Struthio camelus: one gene and its partner. The protein of the gene in region 2 binds, or shares a complex with, the protein of the main gene of each other region. Links are inferred from orthologs where the notes say so. Each region holds a gene or a part of one and is shown on either strand. Other genes may lie near its edges.

Region 1 (10,458 bases), on a different chromosome or scaffold from region 2:
TGATGCCTTGCAATAGCATAAAGAGAATATTTCCAGATGCTACGTCACTTCTCATGAGAGGGATGATGTCCTGACTGGCAGCAGGATTGACAGGTGAGACGGTCTCTTCAGCTCTATTAGCATTTGATGGCACAGAAAAGTCCTTCCAAAGAAGGTATCATCAAGGCAGCAGGAAACTCTACCCCAATATACTACTCGTTATTGCAGATGGGCCTTGAGGGTGTATCTTATTTTTTCTTTGGAGGAGAAAAGGATGCAAGTTCCTCACAGTGAGGTTACGCTGGTGACTGCAACAGGTTCTGATGCCTAGAACATAGTACTAAAGAGGAGTGACACCCCTGGAGACTGCAGTGAGGATTCCTAGGTACTCCACTGTATCTCTCACTACAGAAGTTTGGTCAAGAACTAGCTCACAGCAGCAGAGACAAAGGTTCCTAAGAAAAGCAGCTCCACATCTGTCTTTATCAAGGTAGTCCATCTTCACAGAGCCCCGCCTCTCTTTCAGTACTTTGTAGCCAGAACACTTATTCTGAGCTAGCCCTTTAGTCTGAGCATCTACCATCTGGGTCATACGCTCCAGGGAGGCTGAGAGAAGATACATGAAGGTCTCATTCCAGCAGGCTACATAGGTCAGAAATACAGTGGGCAGCCAAAAGGTGCAGACTTGGTAGGCAGGTCTTCCTGGGGTTGGTGCCTGTGTATTCATTAAGGCAGTCCCACACAGCAGAAGTCAAGGACTGACTGAGCTCCAAGGTAGAGAGGCTGTTCTCTTACTAACCATTACAACTAATCTTCAGTTAATCACTCAGATTATAGAAAAGCGTACGTCTTCTAGAATATCATCTAAATGTTTGTTCCTTGCCTTTTCAGACAAAACAAACTTCTAGAAGAACAGGTGAATTTTACTCCCGCATGTAAGCTGCAGGCTGGGGATGGGGGCTGACTGAGGTTCAGCTCTCAAGTCATGCTGGAAGTGGTGCAACTGTTGGAAAGATGGTACAGAAGAGATCACAAGCCTGAAAAAAATGGACTTTGGGGATCAGAGTAAAAAGATATCAGAGAGGCCAAAGTCCGTTACTAGTCTCCAACGCAATTTTTAATGAAGATTTATGGCAATAACACTATATAAAAGATAAGGTAACTACAAAGGCATCATCTCCTCCCATAAACTTAACTTCTCATTTATCCACAACTCTTTACCATATATTTTGCTGTTCATCTAAAGTCACATTTTGAAAAATAGAATGGTTTCCCCCTTTCTCAAAGAAGAATCACTTTCTTTCTGATACAGCTTCCCTTATTGCTTGAAGTAAATATTCGTTCTTATCCCCAATAAAACAGTTCTGAAGATTAATTTGACAAAAGTCTAGTTATTTCTAATGTACTTTCCAATTTTGTTAATTACAAACACACCATTTTACAAATACAGGTGTATTTAATGCCTTTAATATCATAGTTCAATCTGCAATACCTCAATAAACTCTACAGCTATTTATATGGGTAGGACTTCTCTTTCTAAGTAGTTTTCATAGTTATCTGTAATAGCTCGTAACATGATTCAGCTCACTTGATTCAACAGCATCCAGTTTCTGGAACGTCCCCAAGATATCCCAATTCAATATTTTGGGTAAGAAATCCCGCAGTTGCATAACCTCCGTTGTCAGCCTTTCCAAATCCCTCCTTTTAACTTTAACGTAGTCGTCTTCTGTGTCAGCCTTCTGAAATGCAAAAAAAGAAGAAAAAAAAAGACACCATTACGGCTTTGAGTGCTCTTTGCTTTGCATCCCTTCTCTCAGAAAAAAAAATATTCCTCTATCATTTCAGAAATTCAGAAACTTACTTAAAAAAGAACTATCCAGTAATAATCTGGACTAAGAGTCTCTGAGATAAAAAGTCTTCAATTTTAACCTGCTTTTTGCCACTGGGGCCTAGAGCAAATCATATTACCTCTCTGCAACAGTTTCTTCATCTAAAATGTGTGTAGCACACCTCAGAACACTGTAAAAATTAATTTGATGTTCACATTTGAAAAACGTAAACAGCTACACATACTCTAAGCCAGGTTTGAGACTATTCTAAGGATATATGTAACTGTTTTCAACTAACTCAAATATTTGCAGATGCTCAGCCATCCTGCTAAATTATAATAGTTCTTTCAGAGAAAATAGTTTTTGTTCCTCACAGAAAATGAATTACTTTGAGAAAAATATCATTTGTGATCCAATCACAAATAAAAGTAATATAATCATGAGTTAAGACAGGAAAGATATGATAACTAATTTTCTCTTGTGCCACACTATTGCCCTAACTTTAAATCTACCGTCCGAGAAAATGAGCATTAATTTTCAAGCAATATAGACGTTTCGGTACCAAAAAACCATCAACTCGCATTTCTGATGTACGTACATGTGCACACTGCTGTATCTTGAAAAGGCTACCGTATATCCACAATTACATACTGAAAGGTTTAATTTATTTTGCCCAAAATATTACATATCCAATATGCTTTCATAAAGCAAAACTACAATATATCACATTACTATTTCTTTTTTTGAGAGCGGTGCAGAAACATTGAGATCCCTTCTGTAAACGATCACATCTTCTCTTTTCAGAGGGAAGAGGATACTGCGGAACTATACAAGAAACAGTCTCCTAAAGACACTAAATGCGCCCTCTCCACATCTCATCCAGCTGCATGAGACAAATTAAGGTCATTAACATTAGTACCTTTTCCAGTTCAACAGAAAATGCCACCCTGGTGTTCCTATCCTTTGTGACCATTTTCTACAATTCTCTTTTGTCTTTTTGCTTCTCTGCTTCCTCACATTGAACATTTCCTTCCATCTTTGCTTGCTAGTCTATTTCTTTCCCAACCCTCTGCCAAATCCAGACATTTCTAGGGATGTAACACACCAGTCCTAGTCTTCCCGGTTCAGAAGACATAGAACAGCAATAAAGACATGGAATAAAGATTTTTATTTTAACCTGGATTGTATACTCTAAGCTGCATTTACAAAGTGCTTACAGTAAGGTTAGGATGGCCAAGTACCACCACACTATAGGATGCAGGAAAAATACAACTCATTCAGGTCTCAGGGACATACTGAATGAGGGCATAAGCACATGGCCACAAGACTCTAGAGGGACAGTACGACTTCTGTGTAAACAGAGGGTCAGACGGGAAGGTCAAAGAGACTATTCAGTATTGTTGAAAATTACAGAGCAACATTTGGTATAGGCATGAAAAATAGCTCTATTCACTAGCATAAGCTAAATCCAAATGAAGTATGCTACCAGAGTATTGGAATTGAGATATGAAATGTATACCATGGAGAAAATCCTAATCTATAGTTCTCAGTGTAAACACAGATCATCTTCGTAATACTGCAGTTCTGGCAGACAAGTTTTATTTTCTCCACTTACGCAGCTACTCAACATCTCCCATACATTACAACAATCAGTTAAAAACAAACATATACCAGTGCCTGATAGCTGACCAGATGTAGGAAATCTGACTTCAGTCCTCACAGATTTCTTGGCCAACGATCAAGTTCGGCCAATTTAGTTTTGTGCCTTGGTTCACAGCCTTTAAGATTTGAACTCCGCTTCCCTGCCCGGCAGGGTGGCTGAACACAGTCACGGAAACCACACCTGTGTTCAACACCCCAGCACATAACCTCCGTCAGCCTATTCTCGAATCTTCATTAGCCCCCAAAGGATGCTGAAGGGGTCACTTCAATTCCACTTACACAATTAGTACAACACGTCTTTCCCCCCCCTCCCTTAAAAGGGAGAGAGGGACCCTCACCCTCTTCCACAGATGTTTTACAAGTCAACGCGAAGTCTGCGCTAGGAGGCATGCTGAAGCGCAGAGGCGTTTTGCGTCACGGGAAGGGCAGGCTGACACGCAGGACCCCCCACCAAACAGTTCACACCGGCCATGAGACTCTAAGCAACGGTGCGAGACGTCCCAGCGGCCGAGCTCCCACGTGTTTTATATCCAACACTGAAAACCGCCACTGCCTGGTATTAGCCCTGCCCTGCCCCGCCGGGCACCCAGCGAGGCCCCCCCCCCTCCGCCGGGCCACCCGTCCCCCCACGGCGCTCGGCTGCGCAGCGCCGTCCCCGCCATCGCCCCTCAGACGCGGCAGCCGGCCCCAACGGCCGCGCACCTTCCCCCCCCCCCCCCGCCCTCCTTCCCGGGGCAGCCGACGCCTCAGCGCCGGCCCGACCCCGCCGCCGGGACTGCCCGGGCTCCGGGGCTGCGGGCACGGGCGGCCCCGGCTACCTGCGCCTCGCCCGCCAGCCCCGCGCGGCGCCTCATCGCGCCAACCGCCGCCTCGCAGGCGGGCGGGCGGGCGGGGGCTGTGACGTCGCGCTGCGCCAGGCCCCCCGCGCGCCGCCCTTCCGGGCGCGGCGGTTGGAGCGGCCGGGGGGGGGGGGGGGGGACACGGCGGCGGGGGGAGAGGGGCTCGGCGGCGGCGAGCAGGCAGGGCTCGCCGAGCTGGTCCCCCGCCGCCTGGCACTGCGGGCGGTTCAGGGGTTCTGCCTGAAGTCCTCACTACGTGAAACGGCGCTGTCCTTCGCGTTTAAACTGCCCGTTACATATAGTCACCTGCGCCATGGGACCCAGCAGCCCTAATCTGCCCTCACGGCCTGTGCTCGTGGTGTCAGCTGTTCTTTACAAACTTCGTACTTACCTTTGTGCCGCAATAGGAAGTTTAGTCTTGCCAGCCCCTTCTTGGAGGCTTTTTCTGTTGTACCCACTTTATTTTTTTTCGTTGAGTATCTTCTGCTATATAATTTTTGAGATAGCGGTTGAGTACACAATACTTCTGACCACACCGCTTTATATATAAACATTACAAAATTCCCCACAGTTTTCTCTATTCCTTTCTTTACATGTCTGAACACCTTTGTTTGTTGCAATGCTCCTGAGGAGTGAGCAGCAAGAGCTGTTACACTGTTCACAGTGATGTCCGTGTCTTTTTCCTCAGCAGATACAGCTAATTTGCCTTTTGATAGGATGCTGAGTTTGTACGATTTCCTTCCATATTGTAACACGGGATGTTCACTGCTGTCTCCTTGCCTGTTGGTCCAGCTTTTAAACACCGCTCTGCAGCACGCTCTGGTGCTGGCTAACCTCGACGCTGACGTGTCTGCCGCTTTCTCACACCACTCATAAATATAGGAAATGGCGTGAACACCGATGTTCCCTGCCCTTGGCCCTTTCCGTGGTGATGAAAACCGGGCGTATCGTACCACGCCGCCAGGGAGCAGCGCAGACCGGGCGCTCCCGAAGCAACAGGGAGGCAGCTGCGCTAAGATGGCCGCCAGGGCCCAGCCTGGCCCGTCCCCCTGCCCCGGGGAGCACGGCCCCCGGGCGCAGCCCTAGCCCCGGCTGGGGGGCGTCAGGCACCGCTGCGGGGCCAAGCCGGAGCCGTAGGGACGGCGACAGGAGCAGGGTCGGGGGTCCCGTGGGCAGGGGCAGGGCCGTGGCGGGGCCAGCGTCGCAGGGCAGTGACTGACGGCCCCAGGCTGGGCTGAGATGGGGGCCCAGGGAACCACGAGGGCTGCCGGGGCCCCCCAGGGCCAAGGCACACGCTTTGCTTGCTTTCTTCTGCCTAGTTTTTGGTCTACGACAAACTTCTGCCTTTCTGTGATTTCTTAGCTTCTTTTAATGGTTGCTTGTGCTGGCGTTATGTCAAGGCTTTTTGAAAACCTCTCAGCCTGTTCTGTTTCGTCCATCACATTACTGATAAATTTTAGAACTGTAAGAGATTGGCGTGATTTTTTTTTTTTTTTTTGCAGAAACCATGCTTAAAAATCATCTAGAAATGTTCTTACTCTTATTTTCAATTACTATTTCAACCAATTAATAAGCCAGTCTGCAGGTTTATAATTCCCCAGTTGCCCATAAGACACGTTTTCAAATATTGGTACAAGCCTGGCAGAACAAAGAGCACCATTAAGCGCCTTAGAAGTTGTACAGATGCTGTCACTTTATACTCTAGTCAAGTTTAAAAAAACATACAAGTTTTCTTAAATACCACTTCTGTTTTGGGGCATTTTGTGTCCATGAATTTCTGTCATTAAAAAGATATTTTGCTTTCCTGTGGCTTTTGAAAAATACCACACAAGCAGTAGATAAAGGCAAATCTGCCGTCTCCTTCTGAAGCACTTGGGCTTTCTGTGGACATAGGAATCGGAGGATGTGGAACAGCTTCAAGAACTGGGGGCCTATCCAACCACATGCCGTGTTGTGAAGCGTACAGAGTGAGAAAACCTTAGAAAGCATCCACTCTAATTTTTACTGACCCTAGAAATTTAAGTTATAGTAAATGAAAGCACACTGGAACACGACGTTTTTATAAACAATTCTGTGTTAAAGTGGTGATAGTATTTCATAAGATCTATGAGATCAACATTTCCTCTTACTACAAGCACCAGAGCTTCCAGCTTCACGTTGGCTGCAGTCTAGCACGAAGGCCCAGATTAACAAAACTCACTATAGAACTAGGTTCAGGTAAGTAAAAACACCTTGCTACTGCCTTACCTGCTCAGGGACACAGTTAAGCAGTCATTTGTGAAACTGATCTTTCGTTGTCGATCATCCTCAAGATCTTTGATCTTTCATGCTCCCAAGCATTTTAATTCTTCAGAAAGGTTTCAATACTTTATTTTTTAATATAGTTCAGTACAAATGTGTATCTGGTAGGATAGTTAAAGAGTCTGGGAAAAGACATGTGGCATCTCCATTTCTTTGAGAGTGCTGATGTTTGTGATACACTAGTTACAAACTTTTTCTAGACTTTACTCTTGAATGACATCATGTTGAATACAGAAATAGGAGAGGATTCAGTTTTTTTAGAAAGACCGTTTCCTTTGCATGAAGTCAATTTTTCACTCCTTCAATGTTTTGAATTTTAAAGATATTGTAACATTATGAGACAAGGCGGTCGACTGCGTTAAGTCACTGCACTAAGAGTTCGGAGTTCTAGGTTTTGCCAAACTTCCTCTTGGGGAAACGCAGGCAGAAAAGCTCTACCAGCGCAGGTCCGGCCTACTTTTCCTGCCGTTGCAGCATCCCCGTTTGTAACAGAGAAAAAGGTGAACCCCGTATGCGCGTGCTGGATGCCCGGCCGTCGTTCACCGTGAGCGTGCTCTGCACGTTTAAACACTGAATTCTGGGGGTGCTTATTCCTGGGGGACTTCAGATTTGTCACCAGAAATAAAAAGCCACGAAACTCAACCGCCGCGCTGGGTCTATGGGTTGCACCGCTCCCCGCAGAGCCCAGGCGGGCAGCGCGGCGCCCGGACCCAGGTGCCACCTCCCTCCCTCCCTCCCTCCCGCCACGGCGCGCGCGACGCGCAAAGCGTGCGCCGGGGGCGCTGGTGACGCCATCGGGCGGCGCCCGGCAGGAGGGGAGGAGAGGGGAGGGAGGCGGCCGCCGCCTCCGTGGGGCGCGGAGACCATGGCTCCCGCCGCGCTGCAGGCGCCCGAGATCCAGTTCGCGCAGCGGTTGGCCGCCAACGAGAAGCGCGTCCGCGACCGCGCCGTGAAGAAGCTGCGGGGCTACATCAGCGTCCGGACCCAGCGCCCGGCCGGTAGGGCCCAGGCGGCGGGCAGGGCCCGGTCCGGTCCGGTCCGGTCCGGTCCGGTCCGGTCCGGGGGCGGCGGGGTGCAGCGCTGGGGCCGGGGTCCAGGCCCAGGCGGCGGCGGCGCTGCTCAGGGCCGGCGGTGCCGCAGGGAAAGCGGCGCCTGTTTGAAACGTGCCGGCATGGCGGGGGAAGCACGTGTGGAGGGAGGGCCGGGCGCTGCCTCCTGCCTTCCGGGGTCTGGTCTGTCACCACAGTGCCGCTAGTTTGTTTTATTGTTATTATTATTATTTTAATTTTTACCCGTGTGTTTTATCACAGCAGGCGTTTTCGGTGGTGAGTCCGCAAGCGCCGAGCTCGTTACCGCCGGCCCCGAGCGGGGCAGGAGCTTTCTGGGCCTCGCTCATGCGGTTTCCCCGCGGTGGCTACGGGCGAGCCGGGCTCCGTGCCCCGTCAGAGGGACGGCGGCCCCAGGCAGGACCTGTTTGGCGGGGGGGAGTGTTGGTGGCGGCAGGGACATCGGCAGGTGCGAAGCGATGCAGCTCAAGGCCGCTCGTTCACGGGAACAGGATGTAAATGCAGTGAGCGGAGCTGGACTGAAACAATCCCAGTGCATGGAGTGTATAGTTTTTATTCAGTGCTACGTTGACTGGTGAGACACTGACTGCTTGGTTTTGTAGCTGAGATTCAGGAGCATTGAAGTGAATTGAGGAAAGCTCAGAAAGGTTTTAGTGGTTGCATAATTGCAAGAAATTCATAGTTACCTGTTCAGATTATCCAGGTCGCTTGTTATCTCTGTATCCATGGTATCAATAGTTTTATTACAACAGAGTTTATTCGCTTTCACAGAGCTCTGTACTGCTGCCTTAGAACTCGGACAGCTTGGGTCCAGCTACACTTACTGGCCTTGGCCTTGCTAGTCTGAAGCACTCTGTGCCTTAGGATGCCTGCTATAGGAGGCTCAGGAGGTCAGTCATAGCACTGTGTGAATGCATGGATCCAGCTCAGTAAACTCTCCTTCTGCAATGATAAGGGAGCACAGCGTGGAGATGTCTAAAAGACTGAGCTTTCTGGTTTGCATTCTTCAGGGCACTATGTCGCAAGCTGGATGCGATACAGGAGTTGAACTGGTTAGGTGCATTGCAGAGCACTGTGTCTGACGTAGTAAACCTTCCCACAGTATTTGGGAACATGGTACTGAGATGTATGTGTACGTGTTCCATTCGATTTGGAAAGCCAGCCTGGCACCCCGAGAGCTAAACTGAAACTAGAAGGCTGGTTGAACTCAAGTTAATTCCTTGCAAAGCTGCTGGGGGCTATAGGTTGTTTTCTCCCTTTTCCCTCTTCCCTTTCCAAATAACATTTGACATAGTGGCTGATCTTGGCCTCATCTGACAGAGGCGAGAATACATAAGAACAGCCTTACTGGGTCAGACTAGAGGGCCAGGTAGCCCGTTATCCCATTTCTGGCAGTAGCAATAAATCTGGGGGATGTGTAGGGAATAGTAAGAACAAGCAAAATGTACATTATATTCCTCCCAAGCGTTTTCTGACCCTCCAGCTATTTTTGGCTCTGGAAACTTCCTAAGCTGGATGTGGTTTCTGTGTATTCGGTAGTGCTCTGTGCCTCTCATTGCAAAGTGCAGATTCCTGTAAGTTTGTGAAAGTTACCTGCCAGGTGGTGAGGAGAGTCCCTTTATAGGGTATCCTAATTGAGGGAAAAGGTTGCAGTGTAAGCTAATGCCCTAACACATTGGGAAACCACCACAGGGAAATTGTCTGTTACAAGGTGAACATTTTGCATGTTAAAGTCAACCCACCATGAAATGCAAATGAGTAGGAAACCAGGGTGATTAATTTGCAGTGCTTCTAAATTTACTTGCTTTAACGTACAATTCAAACTAATAATATTAGAACAGTAGCTAACTTCTTTGGACTTGGGAAAGAAGCCTTATGTTCAGGATAGAGGCTTTTTTAAAGTAATATTTGAATTAGCAGATTTATTTCTATGCATCCCTCTGCCAGAGGGGAGGCTCCCAAATCAACATGAACAATCAAAAACATGTTAACTTTTGAAGGAGCAGGTGGAGTTATCAGTGACATTCGCCTCAGTGAAATGTTGCATAGCCCTTGGTAGGCATTCTTCCTGTCTGTCCCGTATGGTCTGTGCTAAGTTTGCATCATGGGTCATGTTGTGGAAACTTCTTTGAAGAGCTAAAGCCTTCTTGATTTTTAAACACAAAGTTATATTCTGTAGAAAGCATAAAGCTACTGAAGCTCTGAAACCATTGTGTGTGCAGGTGAACCTGGATGAGTACATTATTACTTAATCTGTTCCTTTTTTTTCTTGTTAACTCATTCTTCTTAAAATCTTTACCTTGAAAGAGAAAGTGTACTGGGCTGATAAGTGGAGGGTCATATTTTCTTGTATCTTTATAGAGACATCAGTAAATGAACTGGTGAGAGAGTAGTAACTTAAAGGCTTTAATACAATAGGAAGGATTATTAGATATTTTCCTGTCTGATAAGAATAGGGTTACTTGGCCCTAGATCTGTAAAGGATTTAAGTATGTCATTTCCACTGAAATGAACCTTTGTAGCTCTGACTCTTGTATCTAGAGTAGGAAAAACTGCAGCAGTTTTAACTATAGCAGTGTCAAAATAGCATATTTCCCAAACAAGAAGGATAAGAAGGCTTGCAAAAGCAAAGCGTGTCTTCAGGGGATGGTTGTCTCTATCTATAGTGGGTGAGGGCTTGCATCAGCAATGTTGCGGAGTTACAATCCACACCTTAAAACCAGTATCTTTCTCAAGGTAGCTTTGAACTAAAGAGAGCCTTCGGTTTTGCACAGTGTGGTT
Region 2 (9,695 bases):
TCCACAAACAAGCAGCGAGATATTCACTAGGAAACAGGTACATTAGAGTGTCGCCCCGCTGAGCGTGAGCGGCTTTTTGGAAGGAGCCCGGTGCAGGCGGTATCATGCAGCAACGCCCCTGCGGTTTGCTGGCACCTTCCAAACTTGGAAACGGCTGCCCTTCCCCAGGCACGCCAAAAGGCGAGAGGCAAGCAGGGAGCCGGACCTGGAAGCCCCCCTTCCAGAGGGGTCTCCAGCCAAAGCGTCAGTCCTTCCAGGCAGGGCAGGCCCCAGCTGGACAAGGCGTTGCTCTTCAGCGACCTTTCCCTCCTTACCGGGAGGAGGGGGCACGCTGCTCGGATCCACCGGCTGGCCCTTCCCCAAAGCTTCTAACAGGGAGTCAAAGCTCTGAAAAAGCACCAGAGAAAGATCACAGTTCTCACTTTTTTTCAAATAGACATTTCATGACATGCTTTGCAGACAGCCCCTGCCAGCCAGATTTACCCTTGTTTTACTACAGACACCAAGAAAGGCGGCAGTTTGCTTAATATTTCATAGGCAGGAGAAATTCAGGCCTCTCTGGCCACCCAGAGAGGCGCCACACACCTTAGCGACGCGGAAGTACTTCGTGGCCATCTCCACGTTTCCCTGCTGTTTCGCGTGCAGGGCTGCGAGCTTGTACTCCCGCTGCCGGCCTTGCAGCAGAGCCTCAGTGCTGGCCCGGCCGGAACCTGGGGAGGCAGAGAGGAGAGTCGCTGGGCTTCGGGAGGGTTTCCCTCCTCAGCAGCAGGATATAGCGACCCACCACGAAGCAGAACAAGCCAAGGCCTCACCTGGATGTGGAGACAGTGAGGGAGAAAGTGCTTTTTTCTCTGCAGAGCTGGTGGGCAAAGCGGGGCTGGGCAAGACCTGAGGCTTTGGGAGCACAGGAGGCGGCTGCAACGTGGGCAGGGGTTTGGGAGGAGAGACAACAGGCGGCTGCACAGGAGGCGGGGGTGAGCCAGGGCTTGAGGCGGGCACGGAGCCATGGAGGGGTGACACCGCTGCAGAAGGAGAGGGCTGCTGGGAGCTCACACTCTTCCCCAGAGCCACCGGTGGTGGGATTTCCTCCTCGTCGATCTTTTTTCCCTTCCTCACAGAGGTCAGCATGTTCTCTAGTGTCTGAAAAAGAACACGCACACAAAGAAAATCATCAGCTTCTGATCCTTCTCTGTCTCGGCTATGAAAAGAGAAACTTCGGAATTTGCCGGGACTGCAGCAAAACCCCCTAAGGTGGGAAAAAAACAGTATCTGCTTAAAAACAACAGCCAAACATGGCCTGAAACAGGGCAAAGGGGCTCACTGATTAGGAAGCCATTCCCCGACTCTGCAACTTCCTCACTTTCTCACGTTTCCAGAGAACAGAGAGCACCTTGAGCTGCATACCTGCTTTGGAAGAGCAGTGCCACGCTCCCCCAGCCTGCGCGACAGGCAGGCTAACACGCTCCACGCGCTATGGTGTTCTGCTAGCGGACAAAACCCAAGGGAAAGAGGAAGGTCTGCCCTTGACAACACAGATAGGTGCATGAAAAAAAAACTTTAACGTGGCAGAAAAGACTTAAACAAGGTAGAAATCAGCCAGAGGAAAAAAAAAACAAACTAAAAAGAACAGGCTGGTGCTCAAAATTAAAAAACAAAAGTCCTCAGACTTCTCACAGGCTTTAAGCATCCGCAAGCCATCAGGACCATGAGGCTGTGTGTTAGCCAAAAGCCAAGCCTGCAGCAGAATAAGATGATTAGGGCTGTGCCAGAGACCTCTGTGCATAACACAGTCTCAGAGATAGTTATAGCACACATTGCAGCATCCACTTGTTCCTCAGGTTATGTTATTGCCCACAATTAGGCGCTGGAATTAGAACGACCTGATTTTCCAAGAAGTCTGAATAATTTCTGCTTCTTCTTGAAGCAGTGGGAGCTAGAAGCGCTCACCACTGTGGGGAAAACAGGCCTTAACACAGACGTAAGCGCAAAATCCTGGAGCATGGGAACACCGGCCACGCTCAGCGGCGAATTTAAGATCAAACGGGTTTCACGTAACTACAGATTAAGCAAAAAAGACTTCTCTTTAGCCCCCCAAGGGAGCAGCTGTTACCAAGCCGCTGGCCAGCAGCGTGCTGCTCCAGCACGCTGTTTCAGGCTCACCTTGAGGCCTCTCTCGTAGCGGCGCACTTTGGAGCTGTCTCCAGCCTGCTTGGCATTGGCGATGGCCGTTTGGTACATGTCCACCCTCTCTGCCAGCGTAGACTCGATGCTGCCGGACTCGGGAGGCGTTTCACCCACCTGCGGGAGCCCAAAGGAGAAGGCGTGCTGAGCACCCCCAACTAGATGACAACGACACAGGATCCGGGCTTCCTCGCGGCCGATACCCGCCCCGATCCAGGGGTCAGCGCAGACACAGCTGTTCGGCCCTTTGTTTTTCACAAGCTTGGGTCAAAACAGGTCTAGCACGGCCGCAGTTTGTGAACTCCGTCCTCCCTATCTTCCATCAAACTTTTGTGCAACGGAGTCACATTTACTTGTCGGGGAGATCCAACAGATGACACTGTGGACGTAGAAGTGCTCCCACACCAGGAGCAGCAGGGGTAGAAGAGGAAGCAAAGCAGAAGAACGAGTTTCCTACCTTTGCAGTAGTTATGGGGGCATCTGCTCTCTCTTCCCCTTCGCCGAGTACTTCCTGGAGCTCTGCCTACAAGCCAACAGCAGGAATTCCGTTAATGATAAACCGGGGCCAAAAATCTCTTCTGGAGAAAACGCATCCCATTGATCCCAAAGCATATGGAGCAAGGAAAAGCTAATACAGGGAAGGGGGATAAGGGCCAAGGAAGAGCCAGGGCACAGGGACGCTCTCCCAAAACCCCTCCTGTCCTGTGCAGGACACCAATTGGCAAGGAATAAACCACCAGACCTCCCGTTGCCTGCAGAGCCCTGAATACCATGAGATCATCTTCGTCTTCCAGATCTTCCTCATCCCCTCCCTCCTCTTCGTCCAGGTCCTTCATGCAGAGAGCAGCCATTCTCTCGATCGCTTCCATCGGCAAAGGTGCTGGAGAGGGAGAAGCAGCGCGTCTGGTGTTTGTGTCTCACAACCGTTTCCTACCATGGCTTAGGCTCGCGTCCGGAAAGCCAAGGAAAACCAGGCAGGGCAGCAAGTCCGGCCCGGAGAGGGTCACGCAAACTCATCAGGCAGGAGACAAACCACCGTGAGTCATTTTCCACATGGCACATCATCAACCAGCTAGAGAAATTCCCAGCAGACGGGTCCCCCCAGGCAGATATATCCTTCCCACGAGGTTGGGCCACTTACTTTTCCCCTTGGGTTTTTCTTTCGGATCAGGCTGGCCTCCCACAATAGCCAGCAGCTCTGCCTCCAGGTCGGCCGCATCGTCCCCGGCATCGTTTGCCATCATCCCCTCCGGAGAGAAGTCCATCAGCAAAGGCACCTGTGGGGGAGAAAAAGCAGCTGCCCCGAACGATCCTGGCAGAGGCAGCAGCGACGCCGACTAGCTGATGCCGATCCTCTGGGATCGGGCTTGAGGGAGGACGACGCGTCCCACGGTTGGGGACCAGCCCGTTGCGCCCTGCATTAACACTGGCTCAACGACCAGCGAGGCTGCACACTGACAAAGCTGCTGATCCAGCTTAGAAAAGCAAAAACAAATCCCAGAAGACAGGCAACGAGGATACAGGCGGCTCGGTTCTCCCAACGGATCCACGACGGAGACCCGTGCCTGGAACGACCAGCGTCACTACGAACGCTGTGCGTACAAGGAAGCCGCGGCCGGCACCTGCTTAATGGAAGAACTGCCCAGTTTAAACAAAGTCCCCCCAGAAACTGCGGCTGCTCAGATCTGAGTCTTGCGTAACGCACGCCAGAGCTTCCCTGTGCGGAAGGTGTGGTCAGGAGGCCTCAGGTTTCCCTCTGGTTGTTTAAAGGATCTTTACGCCAGTGACCTCTCCCTCCTGGGCAGGCGGAGGCGTAACTGCAGGTGCGCACCCTGCTTCAGCCTGGAGCAGACGGAGGAAGGGGGGCCGGGAGGCGGCGGGCCGGAGCCCCGACGTACCTGCCTGACGGCGGCGGTGCCGCCACGTCCCGGCGGCGGAGGCGGCCTCCTGGTTTTACTCATCCCTCTTTTCCTCCTTCAGACAGAGCTGGAGGGAAGCGGCCTGTGAGCGAGGGGGTCGCAGGGTGCGAGGGGGCCCCTCGGGTACTGTCCCTGCACCCCGGATGGACTCGACCCCTGTTTCCAGCCACCCTTCGGGCTCAGCCCCCCACAGAACTCCCCCCCCATCTTATGTGACTTTCCTCATCTGCCAGCCCCCTACAGCCAAGGGCCTCCCCTGCAAACACCCTGGGGTACTGCCTCCTGGCACCCAGAGCCCTTATCCCACCCCAAACCCTTCTATAAACCCCCCCAAAACTCTCTATAAGCCCTCCTGACCCCCCATAAGTCCCCTCACCCCCCCATAACTCCTTCAGCCCCGCTCTGTAAGCCTCCCAAGCCCCCCTCCAACCCTCCCAGCCCCTCTACACCCTCCCTATAACCCCCTCATCCCCCCCAAAATCCCCCCAAACCCCCTCCAGCCCCTTCCCCACAGACTCCCCCTCCCTAGAGCCCCCCACAAGACCCCCACTCCCCTCACATCCCCCCCAATACCCTGCGCCCCCCACCCCTCCCTCCCCACAAACGATCCCCCAACCGCCTCCCCCCCGGCCCTGCCCGCTCCTCGGGGCTCCAGACCCCGCCGGGAGCCCCGGTACCGGCGGCTTTACCGGCCTCGGCCTCGGCCCCCCCCCCCGCCCTCTCACACTCACTTCCAGCTCCGCCCGGGCGGCTGTCAACAACACGCCGCGCTTTGCGGCACCGCTGTCGCAAGAAAAAAAACCCAAGCCCCACCTTCCTCCTTCGCTTTACGACACTCCCCCTCCCCGCTCCTCTCCCGGCGCCGCTAAGCGAGGCGGTGGCGCAACATGGCCGGCCGCCCCCCCGGCCCGGTGGGGAGACTACAACTCCCAGAAGCCCACGCGCGCTGAGAAGAGGGGGGGGATGCGCATGCGCACGGGGAGGTGGGCGGGGCTCAGGGAAAAGGCGGGAAAAGCCGTTGGCGGCGCCCTGAGGTGAAGGGCGGCGGCGGCCATGGCGGGTCCCCCTGAGGGGGCCGAGGAGGGAACGTGCCCCCTCTTTTCCCCCCCTTTTCCCCTCGAATCCGGAGGCTGCGGGGAGCAGTGTCCATTAGCAGCCCGCCGGCGTGCCGCCTGGAGGCCCTCTCCGTGAGGAGCAAGGGCATCTGGCAAGCGAAGCCCGGCCCTGTCGCCAGAGGCCACGGGCAGCCATGAAGCCCGGGGGGGAGGGGGGGCTGCCACCACGAGCCCGGCGCTCTTCCAAATCCTTCCTCGTCAACAAGGCGCTAGCGCCCCGACTAAAAGCGCTGGGGTGCAGCCTGGGGTCTGCAGCGCCCTGACTTGATGCTTTTGGCTCTTTGGAGAGTGTACAACCGGGCGGGCGGGCGGGGGGGGGGTGGTTCACGGCTGTGGATGGGCCTAAAATCCTTCCTGCGCGTTAACTTGCTTGTGGGAGAGTGCGATTAAAGGGGGAGGCACTGGGACGACCGCACAGCGTCACCGGCGTTTCCCACCTCAGGCACTGCAAAACGGGGTTTGCCGGAGCGATGCGCAATTATGTTAAAGGAAAAGGTCAACGCTGAAGGCAAAATACATTTTCAAGATGCTGTAAGGCCAGTAGTTGAGTGTTCTCATCTGTTTTTCCCACTCAGGAGGGCAGTAAGATGAGTAAAAGGAAGAACGACCAACGATCAGGTAACGACACGAGCTCCGGGGCTCGTTCGCTGCTACACGTGGACGGTGTGACGGTGTTTGACAGATGCCAGTGCCCCCTCGTAAAGAAGCGGTCTAGCTGTCAAGGAGCCTAACCAAATTATTTCAAGTCTCGTTCGTTATACTTGGTAGTAAGAGAGAGATTGCACGTCTAAAACTACCCAGGCGCTTAATTAGTATGTAGATGCTGCATCTGCAAACATTTCTCAAAGCGTGAGCAAACTGACGTCTAACATCACCTTTAAACTGTTACCTTTCCCACACCTGTTTCACCAAAGTTCCCCCCAAACTGCTCTCTGCGTTTCCATAGTTTACTGGTGCTTGCTACAAAAACACCCACGTACAACGCTTTCGAAGCGGCTTTTATCTCAACATAGCAAAGCGCTTCCCGAATGTCACTTCGGCTTGCTACAATGCTGAGGAAAACATGGGTTAGTAGCCCCATTTTGCAGATGGAAAAAACAACACGACCCCCCCCCCCCACCCCAGCTGGTGACAAGGCAGGGAACAGCAGCCACTACACCTCTCCTGTCCCTGTATCACACAGTCACTCCCGTCGCTTTGTTTGTTGTGCTGTTCCAATAAATATTGCATGAGGCTTCGTGGTAGGCCTCCCCCCGAGACTGCAGGAGTTTGTCCGTTGTGTAGCATACCCCATTTCTCCTTGTTTCGGAACAGACGAGCCACCATTTGCACTCTGCCGTCCTGCTGTCTCTCTTGATTGCAGTTGTTCTTCCTCCGTAGGATCTCAGGAGGGACTCTGGCATGATGCCTCTTAGCGCGGCGGGTAATAAAGGGACTAGATTTGACGAGCTTTTCAAGCAGGGTGCACAATCTACGACTCTTTGGAAACAGGCCTCTTCTCCTCCCCTCCCCACCTAACTCAGCAGACTTTGAAGAATCCGTAAATGCGGCAGCTTTAAAAATCAAGGCACAGCAGGACGAGCCGTTTGAAACGCAGTCTGGAATCGGCGAGAGCTGCCAGAGCCTTTCCGCTTTGGTGGAGAGGGAAGGAAAAAGGTGCTTCGAAAGGGTCTGGCGGCATCTGAGCGTCGCTCTCAGAACGCCCTTGGTAGGGGGGCATGGATTTCAGCGTAAACACCTCGATAACAGGCTGCAAACGCTAAAGGCAAAGGCTCCGATTCTGTTTATCCTGCACTACGCCACTGTGTGGAAGCGGAGAGCCAAGGCGAAAAGCGTATCCACAGGACGATAACACAAATCTATGCTTATGTATGTGAATGGTAATATTTAAGGCTGTCTACAACGCTGCTTTAGGCACAGCTTCCTCCCCTGAGTAGTACTTGACTAATCCACACAGACACAGCGTTTTGTCAAATTATGCTGTTTGGCACCATCAGTGAGCAATTTGGGTTATACCGCTCTTCGGTAGGTGGAGGATTGCTAGTGCTTCAGCTGGCAGCATTCAGATTAAACGTTACATCTCATTTAGCACCGATTTTGATTAATAAAATACTGATTTAACCTAGAAAAGAGCACTGGAGTTTGACCGCTGTAATTAACTTTTAACACTAGAAACATACTTGAAGCTTCCTACAAACAAAATACCTGAGGCCGCCCTGTTGTACGGGGGCTATGGTAACGCAGGGTTTCTTAGGATTTCTCGTTTAATTTCTGTTCCTCTCCACCAAAGCAACACCCAAAGTCCGTCCAGAGCGGCAGACGTCTGCAGCCTCAGGACGTTGTTGTCCTCAGAAAGAACAACCTTTGGGTGTTTATACTGGTAAATCTGACCAGGGCAAAATCTTCCTCATCTGCTATGGGTGTTTTTATTGTTAAAAGTCAGGTTAGTATTTTACAAAGGTGCTTGTGCCCCAGTGCCTCCACCGAAGTCGGAACTTACCAAGAGTTTGTGATAGGCCTTGTGTTGCTAGCAGATTTTAAAAGCTTCCTTAGTTCAAGCGTTTTCATAGGATTTAGTAACAGGAATTAATGCAAAACCTACATGGGCAACCTGTAGGCCAGGGGTGGATAGTACTTTAAGCTTCAGGCAGGTTTTTTTCATAGGTTTTGATAAAATTGTTGCTGCTACTTGACAGTTTACCACACAGCTCTACAACCTTGTTCTTTCTGTTCTAGTCACTCTTACTGCCAAGGCTGTTTTCTAATGACTTTTTCCCTTAAAAGGAGGAGACAGCAAGTGCAGTGTTTCCAAAATGAAAAGACTTAGGGAAGATCCTGAGGTGACAGAGGGCTTAGACCTGACAGGACAGACCCAAATCATGGATTCTGAAGGCAAATCAAAGCCAACCGCGGGAGGGGCAGAGGAACGGGAAGAGAAGGACCCGGGAAGCACTGAAAGTTTGGAAGCAAACTCGCAAGCAAGGTAACAGAGTTTGCGCCATGTAACTTGGAAATCACCAGAACGTGAGTTTGTAGGGCGATATAACCCACAGAGCTCGCGTCCTGTAAAACAGAGACGCAGCCCCAATCAAGGCGATTATGACTTACCCCAAGATAACACGTTGACACTAGCTAGACGTGCACGCTATTGTATTCTCTTTAATAGTTCAAACGATGAAGGAGAGAAGACTGCTGCGGAGCGAAGTCAGGCGAAGCAGTTTACCTCAATTTCTTTATCTCAGGTAAGTCTGCTTTGAAGGTTCTGCCCGAGACCGCCAGTAGCAGCGTGCTGCACTGCGATCTCCTCGATACTGTCTAAGCATTCAGCTGGCAGGAAATTCCTTCCACAGCATAGCTAGATTTGCCTTTGTGTAGCTGTTTTTCCTCTGTGGACAAATTCACTTTAGCTGCTTGAACGCTGCCAGCATATCTCCCTCAAATGTATACCCTAGGGCACGCAGCAGCGTTGCCAAAGTTCTGGAATGAGCACATGACAACAAATTGCACCTGAAAAAAGTGGGTTTAACTGAAACCCCGCATTCACTGCAAAACTGAAGTGTGTTATTAAAATGCACCTAATTTAATCCATTGTTACAGTGTAAAATAATGCATTTCAAATATGTACAAACTGCAGAAAGCATTTCCCAGAATTTTAAGGGTTCAGCTTGTTCTCTATTAAATCGAGAAAGAAAACCTCTAAGCTTCAGGCTTGACATAACATTGTGAGCTTCTCGGGGATGGTTTGCAGTGTCTACCCAGATAGGATTATAAGCCGGATGAGGTCATCCCCTCGCTGTCTTTCTAATCGATATTGAGAGCTGCTGAGCTGGGAAGACTGGGCATGGTGCTCAGGATGTTGGATTGCTCGGTCCCCCGGGGAGTAACTGCTCCTCACACTCATCACTATTGCCCTTGGCTGTAGAAGTCAGCAGGGAAGTTTGTGCCAGTCTTCACAAGGCCGAAGGAGGCTCTGGCGGAGAAACGGAAGCGAAACAACGGTGTCGCTCCGAGGAGTCGAACAGAACAGGTAAAATGGTGCATCCCAGTTAACCATCTTCCTATGGACAGGTTTGTTTTTGTTGTTGTTAATAAACTATACAATTTAAAGCTACTTCTTGTTGCTACGTTGCAGAACAGAGCAGTAAGACCTTCTGGCTTTGTCACATCCTGCTGTATGAATGTGACTTTTGTTAGAGCTCTCAGAGTTCAGTAGGTGGTTCCTGTAAATTGTTTGGTATTTATACCGAATGGAGTAAGCGCTGCTTTTTATAAAAACACAAAACCAAAAATAGCTATTTTTTAAGGCATTAATGATGCATGCACCTTATTATTTCAGGAAATAATAGTCTGTAATACCCAAAATATGGATATCAGTCTAGAACAGAAGCCATCAGAGGCAGTTACCCAGAAAGCAAAGTCTCAGGCAGAGGCATCTGAACAGGCAAATTTAATTGTGGTCAAAATGGAAGAGGATCACTCA

Evidence for each region.
Region 1: the proteins of BRME1 (region 2) and HSF2BP are in contact, whole or in part, in a crystal structure (PDB 7Z8Z), measured with the Mus musculus proteins. The link is inferred for Struthio camelus from reciprocal best matches to the Homo sapiens genes BRME1 and HSF2BP. Residues at the interface, in NP_083321.2 of Mus musculus: Met541, Gln542, Asp543, Ala544, Thr545, Val548, Arg549, Leu551, Val552, Leu555, Ser556, Asn559, Ile562, Met563, Thr565, His566, Leu569, Lys573; in NP_083178.1 of Mus musculus: Glu23, Phe24, Val25, Lys26, Val27, Arg28, Asp31, Leu32, Arg34, Leu35, Glu38, Val39, Gln41, Ile42, Phe45, Leu46, Arg48, Ile49, Glu53, Leu54.

Annotation. Positions count from the first base shown.
Region 1 is NC_090942.1:125,685,143-125,695,600, forward strand, and holds the start of HSF2BP (heat shock factor 2-binding protein), read right to left. Parts: upstream 4,355-10,458; 5' UTR 4,325-4,354; coding exon 4,289-4,324; intron 4,007-4,288; exon of another isoform or gene 3,809-4,006; intron 2,692-3,808; exon of another isoform or gene 2,541-2,691; intron 1,719-2,540; coding exon 1,568-1,718; intron 1-1,567. Other genes in the region: RRP1B (ribosomal RNA processing protein 1 homolog B), read left to right, coding at 7,476-7,608, 7,921-7,935. UniProt on the Homo sapiens protein: Meiotic recombination factor component of recombination bridges involved in meiotic double-strand break repair.
Region 2 is NC_090972.1:4,486,056-4,495,750, reverse strand, and holds the start of BRME1 (break repair meiotic recombinase recruitment factor 1), read left to right. Parts: upstream 1-5,802; coding exon 5,803-5,833; intron 5,834-7,999; coding exon 8,000-8,198; intron 8,199-8,381; coding exon 8,382-8,457; intron 8,458-9,137; coding exon 9,138-9,242; intron 9,243-9,551; coding exon 9,552-9,695. Other genes in the region: CC2D1A (coiled-coil and C2 domain-containing protein 1A), read right to left, coding at 315-387, 586-710, 813-1,140, 2,161-2,298, 2,639-2,704, 2,952-3,061, 3,323-3,458, 4,080-4,142. UniProt on the Homo sapiens protein: Meiotic recombination factor component of recombination bridges involved in meiotic double-strand break repair.